3 linked regions of the Coturnix japonica genome follow. Each later gene encodes a partner of the first gene's protein in a complex. Links are inferred from orthologs where the notes say so. Each region holds a gene or a part of one and is shown in the gene's direction. Other genes may lie near its edges. The genes, in order: GABBR2, guanine nucleotide-binding protein G(i) subunit alpha-1 and KCTD16.

What was found.
Region 2: the proteins of GABBR2 (region 1) and guanine nucleotide-binding protein G(i) subunit alpha-1 are in contact, whole or in part, in a cryo-EM structure (PDB 7EB2), measured with the Homo sapiens proteins. The link is inferred for Coturnix japonica from reciprocal best matches to the Homo sapiens genes GABBR2 and GNAI1. Residues at the interface, in NP_005449.5 of Homo sapiens: Lys510, Lys513, Met514, Ser516, Arg577, Ile581, Lys586, Met587, Lys588, Lys590, Ile591, Lys593; in NP_002060.4 of Homo sapiens: Arg24, Glu28, Ala31, Arg32, Asp193, Thr219, Ile343, Asn347, Leu348, Asp350, Cys351, Gly352, Leu353, Phe354.
Region 3: the proteins of GABBR2 (region 1) and KCTD16 are in contact, whole or in part, in a crystal structure (PDB 6M8R), measured with the Homo sapiens proteins. The link is inferred for Coturnix japonica from reciprocal best matches to the Homo sapiens genes GABBR2 and KCTD16. Residues at the interface, in NP_005449.5 of Homo sapiens: Ile882, Asn883, Ile888, Gln889, Arg891, Leu892, Ser893, Leu894, Gln895, Leu896, Pro897, Ile898, Leu899; in NP_001357415.1 of Homo sapiens: Asn30, Gly32, Gly33, Gln34, Val35, Tyr36, Asp64, Leu65, Ala66, Lys67, Asp68, Ser69, Arg72, Phe74, Gly79, Phe80, Arg83.

What each region holds. Positions count from the first base shown.
Region 1 is NC_029517.1:43,384,253-43,388,640, reverse strand, and holds the start of GABBR2 (gamma-aminobutyric acid type B receptor subunit 2), read left to right. Parts: upstream 1-1,582; 5' UTR 1,583-1,839; coding exon 1,840-2,154; intron 2,155-4,388. UniProt on the Homo sapiens protein: Component of a heterodimeric G-protein coupled receptor for GABA, formed by GABBR1 and GABBR2. Within the heterodimeric GABA receptor, only GABBR1 seems to bind agonists, while GABBR2 mediates coupling to G proteins.
Region 2 is NC_029516.1:10,240,701-10,244,986, reverse strand, and holds the start of guanine nucleotide-binding protein G(i) subunit alpha-1, read left to right. Parts: upstream 1-1,486; 5' UTR 1,487-1,849; coding exon 1,850-1,967; intron 1,968-4,286. UniProt on the Homo sapiens protein: Guanine nucleotide-binding proteins (G proteins) function as transducers downstream of G protein-coupled receptors (GPCRs) in numerous signaling cascades.
Region 3 is NC_029528.1:688,975-693,119, reverse strand, and holds the start of KCTD16 (BTB/POZ domain-containing protein KCTD16), read left to right. Parts: upstream 1-1,144; 5' UTR 1,145-1,232; intron 1,233-1,251; exon of another isoform or gene 1,252-2,230; intron 2,231-2,496; 5' UTR 2,497-2,798; coding exon 2,799-3,630; intron 3,631-4,145. UniProt on the Homo sapiens protein: Auxiliary subunit of GABA-B receptors that determine the pharmacology and kinetics of the receptor response. Increases agonist potency and markedly alter the G-protein signaling of the receptors by accelerating onset and promoting desensitization.

The sequences.
Region 1 (4,388 bases):
ATCCAACCTGGCCTTCAGCAACTCCGGGGATGGGGCACCACAATTTCTCTGGGCATCCTCACCAAAGGCTGGCAACCTGCAATGAGACAAATTTGTACTGAATCTGATTCACATCTTAGCAAACTCACTAATGACTGAATTAATTTATTGAGAAAGGTGATGACCCCTTCTAAACTGATGTCTTTAGGTCAGCTCTGTTGGATGTCATTCCACAGGAAGGGCTGCAAAGAAAGAAGAGTTACGGGGTGACAGGTTAAGGGCTTTTGGCCCAAGGTCACCTTATTATGATCTTAGAATTTATTAAACTATAAAGATTCTTCCCGATTTATGGCATAGACGCCACCATTGTATATGGGATATATTAGGTTGGCCTTCATAGAATCATAAAGGTTGAAAAAGACCACTAAGATCATCCAGTCCAACCACCAACCCATGCCCGCTGACCACGTCCTTCAGTGCTACATCCACAGGGTTCCTGTATACCTCCAGGGACAGTAACTCCACCACTTCCCTGGGGTGTAGAAGAGAGAAGAAATTTTTTCCCTAATATTCAACCTGAATTGACCCCTGGTACAATCTGAGGCTGTTCCCTCTCATCCTATTGCTGTTACCTGCGAGAAGAGGCCTCCTTTCAGGCCGTTGTAGAGAGCAGTGAGGTGTCCCCTGAGCCTGCTGTTCTCCTACTAAACAATCCCAGTTTCTTCATCCGCCCCTCATCCCGGTTTTGTATCTATAGAATGGGAGATGCCCCGGGTCGGGTTTGGCAGGGCTGCCAGCGGGACGCACACCGGGTCTCTCCCGGCTCTACGGGGCTCCTCGCTGTGCAGGGGGGCCGTACTGGGATCAGGGCACGGCGCTGCCACTATGCGCTGCCGGGCTGCGGGAATCCTGCGGGGAGAGCAAAGGATAACCCAGAAATAACCTGGTTTTGCAGAACGCCGCGCTCCTGTGAGCGCGCTGCGGAGTTGCCATGGCCCAGGCTCCGTGTGTGTGTGTGTGTGTGTGTGCATTTGTGCGTGTGCGTGTGCGGTGGCGGAGGTGCCGAGCCGGCGTGGGCGCGTGTCTGCGTGCTGAGCTGGAGCGGGGGCGGGGGGGTACGCGCTCGCCGCGTGCCTTGCACCGTCCCCCGGCCCTTCCCGCATCGGAGCCGAAGGGCGGCACCTCCCTTCTCGCGGGGTTGCCCCGGCTATGAGAATGCGGCATTAGGGCTCTGCACCCCCGGCCCGCACCGTTCCCCCCCCACACACCAACCCCCCTCCTTCTTTCTTTTTTTTTTTCATTCTACCGGAGCATCCTATATATATATGTGTGTTTTCCTTTTGGAGGAAGAAGGAGGTGTTCAGTGAGGGCTTCTTCTCGCTCCCCCCTTCTCTCCCTCCCGCCCCCCCGTCCCCGCCCGAGAGGTGCCGTTCCTCCCCGAGCGGAGCGCAGCGGGGAGGCAGAGGCAGGTCCCGCTCCCTGCTCCGCCGCCGGGAGAGGAGGGGAGGAGAAGAGGAGGAAGAGGAGGAGGGTGCAGGGAAAGCGGAGGGGAGGGGGGGGGTGGGGGGGTTATTTATTTATTTATCGCTTCTGGTGGCTGCAGCTGGCAGACCTGGGAAGGAGTAGGCGCCATTGCCAGAAGGATTATTGCCAGGGGAGAGGAGAGAAAAGGGAGGGGGGGCGGAGGGGGGAGAGAGAGGAGACCCCGAGGCTCCCTTGGAAGCGGGAGGCGTTGCTTTCCCTCCCGCCGCCGGGGGATGTGCCCGGGCTGAGCGGGGCTCGGCTCCCTCCCGCCGCTCCGTCCGCCCCCCCTCCCCAGCTCTCCTCCTCCTCCTCCTCCTCCTCCCCCCATCCAGCAGCATGCATCCCTCTGTGCGGAGCCCGGCCGCCGCCACCTCCAGCCCTGCCATGCTGCTGCTGCTCCTGTGCCTAGGCTGGGTGCCGCCGGGCTGGGGCTGGTCGCGGGGCAGCACCCGGGGGGCGGCCGGGATGCCCCCCAACGCCACCACGCCGATCTCCATCATGGGTTTGATGCCGCTCAGCCAGTCCGAGGAGGACCAGAAGAGCAGGATCGGTCGGGGGGTGCTGCCCGCCGTGCAGCTGGCCATGGATCAGATCCGCAACGAGTCCCTGCTCAACCCCTATTTCCTGGACCTGCGCCTCTACGACACGGAGGTAGGGGCCGCCGGGGACGCGCCGCCGCCCAGTCCCGGGGCGCTGCGGGACCGGGGCGCAAGGGCAGCGCGGACGCGGGGGCTGCGGCGCCGCCGGTAGATGCGCGGGGAGAAGCGGCTGAGGACGCGGAGCCGTTCCGGAGATGTTCTGCCCGCGGGGCCCCGACCAGAACCGGCCGCTCTCAGCTTCTAGCAACAGATGCGCGCCGGCCGCTCCGTCTCCATCCGGATGCCTCCCCTTCCTCGTGCAGGACGCGGGCTCCGGAGGGCGGCTCGCAGCGAGGCGGTGGAGACCTGCGGAAAGAGTTAAATCTGCGGTGCCTCTGCCCGCGGGATGCTTGAGGGCCGCCCTGTCCCGGTGCGGCCCGGTGCGGTTCGGGGTGCGGAAGGAATGCGGGCGGGAGGCGGAGGCGTGGGGAACTTGGTACCCGGCTCTCCAACGCGCTCCGTTTGGGTCGCAACTTCGCCGAACGGAGGGAGATGCCGGCTCGATGCGGAGCCTGCCCTCAAGGTGGCAGCCGCCCCGCGTGAATCGAGCCGCGTTCCTTTCCACGACAGCCCCCGGTGCGGCGCGGGGATGGATGCTGAGAGCCCCCGTTGTGCTGCGGGAGCCCCTCTCCGGTTGCAGAGCGGCGATACCGGGCTGTGCTGGCTCTCCGTCCATAGGGTCGCCCCAGAAATCTCTCTCTGTGGGGCAGCTGCCCTTCACCGACACGCATTTGTCGTGGCGTTGTTTCGGACGGCTTGGGGTGGTAGCGCTGAGTGTGTCGTTTGGGTGCTGTTGGGTGCACAAGGCCGGAATGCTGCGCCAGGAGCGGCCCCGAGCTGCCGTTCGTCTCCTTAAAAAACGAACCTCTGCAATCAGAATGAAAAGAATTATGGGGGATTTTCGGAATGGCATTACCTGTTTCATAAAACGTGGTATTGGGGAGAAACAAGATCACGGTTCTCCCAGTCCTGTGTTCATTACATTATTCTGTTTAAATCCACCCCTCGGATGGGATCGTTGCGAAATAATGAGTACACAGGAAGTGGAGAAGCAGGAACCTTCCTTCTATGCACACATCCCAATCAATGAGGGGCTGCACCTGATTGCAATCAAAATATTTTGCAGTTGTTCATAGAGATTTTGGGTTCTGAGCAGGGTAGTCAGCGTTAAGATGAACAGAGCAACCAGAAGAATTGTCTGATTGGCTGTGGAATGTGCACCGGTTCCTTAAAAATTGCATTTTTACTGTTCGGTACTTCAGGGGGGGTTTGAAGCATCAGGATCCTGCTGCCCGTGTGCTGTGTGCATCCGGAGGCTTTTAAGCAATTAATAAATGGATGGTTATGGAATGCTAAATCAGGCAAATGTATGTATTTGGAGAGCGGTCGGGTCATTATTGCACGCTTAATAGTGACAAGTAAATAAACGAGTGTTTGTGAGGAGTGTTAGATTGACTGCACCGTAATGGAACAGCCTAATGGTTGGAACAGCCTATAAATACGTAATGGCAGCACAAACTTTTTCGTTGTGCTCAGCCATTACCTTATGTCTTACGGTAAGCAGAAGGGCTGCTCCCTCCTGCTGCCCGCTCGGTGCTCAGCCTGTTCCCAGACTGCTGATAGATGGATGCACCCAGAGGGCCTGGATCCTTGTCCTTACGTAACCACAGACCTGCTTCCCTTCAGGACCTCGCGGGTGCTTTGACATTGGCTCCTCTTGGAGAGAGAATGTGGGACCCTGAGCACCAGGGGTTTTTGAACAGAGGGAGAGGTGTTTGTTGTGTAGATATAGAGCCTGGTGAAATGCACGTCAGTGATTTAGGAAATGCATGGCAGTGATTTAGGCAATGCATGGCAGTGATTCAGAAACTCCCTCATGGAGTTCCATAATCACCCTCTGCTATGAACCGATGTTTGTGTTGCAGCTTTACGTAACACTTCAATAAAAAGCTCACAAAAAATAATCATGAAAGTATTATGAAGACAAACAAATCGGATCTCTTTTCATTACCGAGGCAGCTTCCTGGTAAAGTTGAACTGCATATTGTTTGCTTGATGTTTCTGTACAGTGGAGCACAGGGATGCCCGTATTTCTGACCACCATCAGAACTGCAGTGGGCTTCCCAACTTAGGCTGCTCTCTGTCTCTAACCCTGGAGCACTGGAGTGGCATTCCTTGCGCTTATCAACACAGTTAAGCTGAAGGAAGCTCAGAGTTCACTACAGTCCTTAATCCGTTATCTCAAGC
Region 2 (4,286 bases), on another chromosome or scaffold:
ACTCCTAAATCAGGAAACTATCCCAAAACTGTTTAGTAGCCTCACCACCTTCTGAGTAAGTAATTTCTTCCTAACATCTAGCCTAAATGTCTGTCTTTTAATTTAAAGCCATTCCCTCTTGTTCTATTACAATCAAACTGAGTAAAAAAAGATAATAATTTTGCCCCTGCTGATAAGCTCCCATCCAGTACTGGAATACAGCAGTTAGGTCTCCCCAAAGCCTTGACTTTTCTAGTCTGAACAAGCCCTGCTCCCTCAACTGTTCTTCACAGAAGATCTTGTGGCCCTACTTTTCAAGCCAGTCTTGGTTTCTCTGTATGGCATCTTTTCTGCCATAAAACATCACCTGTGCTGTCAAATGCTCTACTTTTAGAGCCCATTCCGTGAGAAAAATAAGTAACCTTAAAGGCTCACTACAGAAGACAAACCTGAATGTAACATGCTTGTCTTGTGCTTGCATGTGACGTTCTGACTGAAACTTATCCTTCAACTCAGAAAGTTTTGTCTCATACAGGTTCTGTGGTACTGTACTGGGTTTACATGGTGACAAGAAGGAGTCGCAGGGGTCACCCCTGAGCACAAAGCCGAGCACCCTCCCGACATCACATCATATCACACCAGCTGCTCCCAAGGCCTCTGCCGCGGTACGAAGGAGGGGAGGTCGGATGATGGCTGTCAGCAGTGAGGCAGCAGGAGGCGACAAATAGCAGGTGGAGATATTAGCAGCCATAGGCTACCAGATGATCAGGGGGCTGGAGCACCTCCCCTATGAGGACAGGCTGAGGGAGTTGGGTTTGTTCAGCCTGGAGAAGAGAAGGTTGCGGGGTGACCTCATTGCAGCCTTTCAATACCTGACGGGAACTTACTCCCAGGAGGGGAGTAAACGCTTTGAAAGGGCTGACAATAGCAGGACACGGGGAAATGGTTTTAAGTTAAAAGAGGGAAGATTTAGGTTGGATGTTAGGGGGAAGTTCTTCACTAGGAGAGTGGTTAAGCCCTGGAACAGGCTGCCCATGGAGGTTGTGGATGCCCCGTCATTGGAGGTGTTCAAGACCAGGTTGGACGGGGCCCTGGGCAACCTGATCTAGTAAAGGTGTATGTTTGGTGGCCCTGCCAGGCAGGGGGGTTGGAACTACATGATCCTTGAGGTCCCTTCCAACCGGGGTCATTCTGTGATTCTGTGAGACTATGCCTAAGAAAGTCGGTCACCCTACCACAGGCGGCTCTCAGTCTCCGGAACAAACCCTATAGGCATTAGCACAGCCTTCACTGGGCGTTCCCTCCTCAACGCAATGGAACCTCCCGCTAAGAGCTATTTAAATTCAAGCCCTCAGCACCATCCCCGCCCTTACCCCCCGCCCGCCGCCAGGTGTGCGGAGCTGGGCGCTGACGTCACACACACGCACGGCAGCCTGAGGTTCGCTCCGGCCGCTCGATGCTGCGCGCAGGCGCACTGCCGCCCGCCCCGCCCTCCCTCGCGTGCACGCGCACGCCCCCTTTCTCTCCCTCCCGCGGCGTTGTGGGCTGTGCGCGCCGCCGCGAGCAGCGGAGAGACGGGGGTGGTGTACAGCAGAGTCGAGGAAGGGGCAGCGCATCCCCGGGGACGGATCGAGGGAAACATCCCCCTGTTTCGTTGTGGTGTTTTTTTGTACAAATTTGTGGGTTTTTTGTTTTGGTTTGTTTTTTTTTTCTTCTTTTTGCTCCGCTCTTCCCTTTACTTGCGCTTCAGGTGGGGAAGGAGGGAGAAAGAAAGCGGGCGGGCTCTGCTCCCCCCCCTCCTTTTTTACGCCTCTCCGGAGCTCTCCGCTCCCCGCTTCTCCCCGCGGCGAGGTACGCAGCCCCTGCCGAGATGGGCTGCACGCTGAGCGCCGAGGACAAGGCGGCGGTGGAGAGGAGCAAGATGATCGACAGGAACCTGCGAGAGGACGGCGAGAAAGCGGCCAGGGAGGTGAAGCTGCTCCTGCTGGGTAAGGGTGGGCCCCCCCCGGTCTGGCCGAGATGCGGAGCTGTGAGGGCCGAACCGGGGGCGGGGGACCGCGGAGGTCCCCCAGCATCGCTCCCCCGGGACCGGCGGGTGGTGGGGTGGGAAGGCCGCTCGTAGATCCTCGGAATCCGCTCGTGGATCCTTGGGGGAGGAGGGAGGGGGAGCGCAGGTGGGCGCGGCGGGGCTGCGGGCCGGGCCGGGGAGCGGTTCCGAGCTGTTGGGGCTTTGTTTAGATAAGGCCCCGGCTCCCCAAGGGGAGGGAGAGAGATCTTGTACTTTTGATGTGGGTTCTGGGTACTTCGGTTCCGAGGAAGGGCTTAAGGGGATTTCAGGTTGGGGGATGTTTGTTTCGTGTGGAACATCCCCTTCTGAACTGTTGCTGTAAGAGTGAAGTGGGAAAAACATCAAAGCAACGCGAGGCGCCGTCTGACTTCTCGCTTCGTTTTCTTTTGGAAGTTGTTTCTGCTGCCGAACTTTTACAACATAAGGTCAAACCTTGGTGGGGTTATAAAGTGTGTAATACTGGGGATCACTGGAATAGGGTGATGAGGAGCTGCACGGAGAAGCAATGGATTCCCAACCTCAGGATGTGCTCGGGGTGGGATTGGATGGGGCCCTGGGTCCTGATCTGATGAGCATCAGTCCTGCACAAGGCAGGGCATTGGCACTGGATGGCCTTCAAAGTCCCTTCTAACCCAAGCCATTCTGTGGTTCCGTGCTACCAAGTCTTCTTGATTTTACTCCCAAGTTCTTAAAACTGGCAGCTTTGTTCATTTTAAGTGATGTTTGTCTATAAAGATAAATGAAGTAAAATTACTGCTAAAAATTACTATGAAAGAGGAAGAAATCTCTAATTAGTAATGTCTTTGTGCAGCTCTAACTCTACTGTACGTGCTGTGGACAGCTGAATCCTGCAAGGCATATGATGTATTGATGTTACGGGGAGTTTTGTGTTATGCTTTATAGCTGAACTGCTCTGGATCCTTTTAACCCATAATTAAAAAATAATTAAAAATAAATAAATAAACATGGAGTTTCAGTTTTCCTTGTGCTGCTCATCCAGAAGCTACAGTTCCAAGGAAGGTTTCTGTTTATAAAGTAGTACCCAATTTTTTCTTCTCCATATATTTGTTTTCATGGAGTGCTTCCTTAAGCATTCTATTTAGTGCAAATCTTGCTGTAGTAGAACTCTTAATTAATTAACTTCTATCTGTTCCTTGTAAAGCTTGTAGCTTGTAAAATAGCTCCAGACAGGTCCAGGGAACTGAAGCACTTCCTTCTGTGTGTCTGTGAAGAAACGAAACAAGCCTAGTATAGGTAAAGCAAACTTCTGAAAACGTGTGTATAGGCTTAAAGTTCTGCATATGAGGGGAAAAAAAGCTTTTCGGTTTGCTTTCTAGAAAGTGTTAGGCTGTTGGTGTGCTTAGTCCTGTACAAATTCATAAGCCTGGAGTCTGTTGTGTGGAAAGGTTATCCTCTGATCAATAGTAATGCACTGCAGAAAATGTCCTTTTTCAAGAGTCACAGAGTACTGCTCTGTGTGTACTCTGACAAGTCATTAGAAATGGTTTTTCAGAGTTCTGCTGTTCTCTACTGAGCTTTAAATACTACATAGGTAGTAGTTATGCTTTTCCGTGAGTATGGATAAAGTCTTCTATAAAAGTTGCGTTAAACTTGAGAATGAGCTGTTTACAGTAGCTTAATATTCTTGGATACAAATTCATATGATAGTAGCTTTTTATATAAATTCTATCTGATATAGATCAGCTTTTGGGGGAATTGTTTTCTGCTGCAGTCTCCTGAAATCTTAGGATATGAAACTAATCACAGAATCACAGAATGACCCAGGTTGGAAGGGACCTCAAGGATCATGTAGTTCCAACCCCCCTGCCTGGCAGGGCCACCAAACATACACCTTTACTAGATCAGGTTGCCCAGGGCCCCGTCCAACCTGGTCTTGAACAGCTCCAAGGACGGGGCATCCACAACCTCCCTGGGCAGCCTGTTCCAGGGCCTAACCGCTCTCCTAGTGAAGAACTTCCCCCTAACATCCAACCTAATCCAAACTAATGCTCAAATACATGTGTTTTCTCACAACTCAACTCAGTGTAGCGTTTTCCATTCAACTGTTAAAAAGTGAAAATGAACAGATCAGGAACTTTCAGGGCCAGAGCTGAGAGTAAGGCTTTGTGTATACATCTATGGATACATTTATACATTTCAGATCCTAATGGAAGCTTTTCTGTTCAATTTCCTGTGTTAGCTGTCCTAAATGTTGTGTGAATGCTTTATCTGATGGCAA
Region 3 (4,145 bases), on another chromosome or scaffold:
AAGGCAGCACTAATGAGTTTAAATCCTAAAGGAAGCCCATCATTTCATCTACCTGGTCATGCAGATGTTAAAGCCTGTATACTTTGACTCTACTAGACTTAAATACATGGTGAAGGCATCTAAGTTAACATGTCCTCACACCAACCCTTTTAAATCCTCATTGTAAGCTTTACAGTTCCCTTGACAAGTTCTTCAGCTGGTGTGTGGGAACAGCAAGTGAAGATGTACAAAACTGTCTTTTTCTGAGATATAATGTACATCCCTGCAGCAGTCCCATACTCTGCTGGTTTGAAAATTAGAAGTCGGGTCCAGCAGTAAGAGAGAACCTTGGTTCAAGAGCCTCACAGCTGCTTCTGAATTAATGAATTGATTAAGGTCAAAAGCGAGGGTTTGATATACTACTTGACTCTCAGGCTTGAAATTGAGAAGCTTGTAAGCACACAGATCAGTGCTTTCCTCCCTCGGGCTATAGAACTGTACTCTTTAAGTTAATGTCCTCCTCAGTCCCTCCCTTCCTTCGTTCCTCCTGAAGTATCTGCAACTTCAGTGCAGCCAGCAGAGACCAACAGCTCAGTAACTTCCCTGCACAAAGATTTGACTCTAAAACTTCCTCTCTGGGTTTTCTTCGATGTGTGAATGAAGGGCTTTTTATCATACATTCATCATTCCGAGTATCCCCATTTTAATGAGAACTGATGTCTGCCAAAATACACAACGCTGAACTTTTCTGATACTTTTTCTGATACTTTTTCTGACACTTTTCAGACGATCATGTGCAATTATGTGTGAAATCGACTACACGCTGCGGTGCCCATTTTGTGCACTAGCTGAGCAACCCGGTCACTTCATTTCATTTTATGTTGCATGCCGTATTTGTTTAACCCGAGACAAAGCAGTTCACGCTGAGCAGAGCCCACGGTGCCCAGCTGGTGGCCGCAGCCCACGCCCCGCAGCGGCAGCTCGGTGCTCCCAAAGCCCATTTTTTTCCGGCGTTTTTCATCTCGCCTTTCCCGCAGCGTTTGCCCTGGTAACAGCGCTTGGGAAGAACCGGGAGCAGGGCCAGGACTGGACGCGAGGTGGCGGTGCCAGCACGGCCACGGCCGAGAGGAGAACGGGGCGCGGCGGGAGCCCCTGCCCCCGTCCTGCCCCCGTCCCCATCACGGTCCGGCAAACGAAGTGAGTGCGGCAGCGCTCCTGCCGAGGCGCCCCACCTCCTCCTTTCCGTCCCTGCGGTAAATGCACAGCGCCTCGTTACTGGCTTCTGCCCTTTCTGGGTCACTGCTGGGGAGATGAGGAGCGCGAGCGGCACGATAAAACCGCACTCCTGCCGGAGAGCCACGGGCGAGCGTGCCGGGAGCGCCCACCCACCGGCTGCTCCCACCCTGCCCGCCTGCGTCGCTGGGTGAAATCACCGCCTCGCCTGCGCGGAGCCGCGGACAGGCACGTGTCGGCGGGCGGGCAGGGGCCGGGAGCTGCCGCCCGGAGCTGCCGAGAGGAGCGGAGCGGGAGGAACTTTACCCGAACTCGGGCGCTGAGGGCTGCGGCGGCGGCGCCCCGGGGCGGCCAACCCGCTCGGCGGAGCGCGGCCCGGCGCTGTCCGCGGTGCTGGCGCTGCCCCGGCTGCTGGCGCCGTCTCCGGTTCCGGCCCGGTCCCGGCCCGACTCCTTTCGGATGATGCAATCGGCGTCGCCCTCTGCGCTCCCGTCCCCGCGCCTCTGAGCGGAGCGGATCCGAGCAGGGCGGCGCGGCAGAGCGCGGGAGCGGAGCGGCACAGCGGGCGGCCCCGGCGGGGACATGGGAGCGCCGCGTTCCGCGCTGCCCGGGCGGCTGCCGCCGCGGGAGTCGCTGGAGCCTTTCAGCCCTTAGCGCGGGCTGCGGGGTTTCTGCAAGTCATCTGAGGCAGCGTCCCCCGCAGCGCGTTCCCCCGCTCTCCCTTGGCCCCACTCTCAAGGAACCCGATCGGATTTATTTGGGATTTTTGTGCTTTTCCCCTCCCCCCTTTGTGCTGTGTGTCTTGTTTTCTGGTCACCTGCCGTGGTTAACTTTTTTCATGACTCGGTTTAACTCTCGAGATCTACACGAATGTTGTTAAGAGCACTTTTCTTGCCTTTGCTGTCCCTTGCTGGGATCGGATCTGATACTATCTGGACTCTATGTGCCTGTATGTGTGTTCTGAGTGTCTTGAAATTTTGCTTTCCTTTCCAAGAGCTATGCATTATTTGTAACCAAGGTAAGAGTTGATGTTCTCATTGCCTCTTCTGCATGTTTAAATTAGATGTTTGTTTGAAGATAAATTACGTTGTATTCTATAAACTGCAGGGTCACACTGAGTCCTTTCATTGATTAGTGTTTCTGAAAAAGAAGGGGAGAACTTGGGAAAATTAGATATATTTAGCAGGAAGGCTAACAGCTTTCTAGAATGAGTTGTTTTTCTCTATTGCAATTGCTGGCATGCTTAAGAGGTTAATTTGAATCTTATTTTGTTTTCCCTTTTAGAAGACCAGTGAATTACCATAGGCTGGGCTTGACCTTGATTTTGATGGCTTTGTTGGAAGATCTAATGATGTGATTGTGTTTCACGAAGGGATTTTTCTCCAGCCCCAGTGGCTTAGGATATAAGACACTTCTATCACATTGCTACTTATGGACAATTCAGATATTTTTTTAGACATACCTTTTGGATTTTTTTTCTTTCCTTGCTTCCCCTTTCCCCCGTTTCACCTTAATACTGGAGCCTTATTCTAGACTTTGATGTGACTGACTATCCTTCGTGCTACTGTTTTCTTTTTTAAAGTACAATGGCTCTAAGTGGCAACTGCAGGACTTACCTCCCTGCCCGAGAGCAGGGGTCTGGGCTGCAATCCTTCCCAGAGGTTGTGGAGCTAAACGTGGGTGGCCAGGTTTACTTCACTCGCCACTCCACCTTGGTTGGCACCCCTCACTCCTTGCTGTGGAAAATGTTCACCCCAAAAAGAGACACAGCCAACGATCTGGCCAAGGACTCCAAGGGAAGATTCTTCATTGACAGAGATGGTTTCCTTTTTCGCTATATTCTGGACTATCTCAGGGACAAGCAAGTTGTTCTGCCTGACCACTTCCCTGAAAAGGGAAGGCTCAAGAGGGAGGCTGAGTATTTCCAGCTCCCGGACTTGGTCAAAATCCTGACTCCTGATGACAGCAAGCAAAGCCCCGATGATTATTGCCACAGTGACTACGAAGAGGTCTCCCAGGGCAGCGACACGAGAATATGCCCCCCTCCATCTCTCTTACCATCAGATCGAAAGTGGGGATTCATTACCATTGGGTACCGGGGTTCATGCACTATTGGCAGGGAGAGCCAAGCAGATGCCAAATTCAGGAGGGTCCCAAGGATTTTGGTTTGTGGAAGGATCGCTTTGGTCAAAGAGGTCTTTGGAGAAAGTTTGAATGAAAGCAGAGATCCAGACAGAGCTCCAGAAAGGTACACCTCCAGGTTTTATCTCAAGTTCAAGCATCTGGAGAGGGCTTTTGACATGTTATCTGAGTGTGGATTCCACATGGTGGCCTGCAACTCCTCTGTGACGGCATCCTTTGTCAATCAGTACACTGATGACAAGGTCTGGTCCAGCTACACTGAATATGTCTTCTACCGTAAGTACAAGACATTTCTGAGGGAAACACAGCTGCCTGTTTGAAGCCTGTCTCTTCTGACTGTGCACAGTTAGCAAAGCATGAGAAGTGCAGATTTCTTTGTATCTGCTGCAGATCGGAGCTTTATTTTGATGAGGTGATAGGCTTCAGTTTAAGCTTCCGAACTGTAAGGCCAGACTGAACTCAGTGGCTTGGTCTTGGCTAGGTGGCAGCACAGACTGCCAAAAGCACCCTATCCCTGTGCCTGAAGGATGCTGTATCTCTGCCTGTGCAAATCTGATGGCCTGCACACTTCCTGAGTGCAAGTAGGATGCAATGTAAGCCATGCAAACACACTGCAGATTTAATTACAGAAAACCTTCACATTGAATTCAATTTACAAAGGTAATATCTGCTTGATAATAGTCAACCATCTGTCAACAAGCCTGACACACTTACATGCAGGGAAGGGAAAACAAAATCCTGTCCCCCTGTCTGCTTTTCAACAGGGAGCCTTCTCAGATCCAACTGATGTG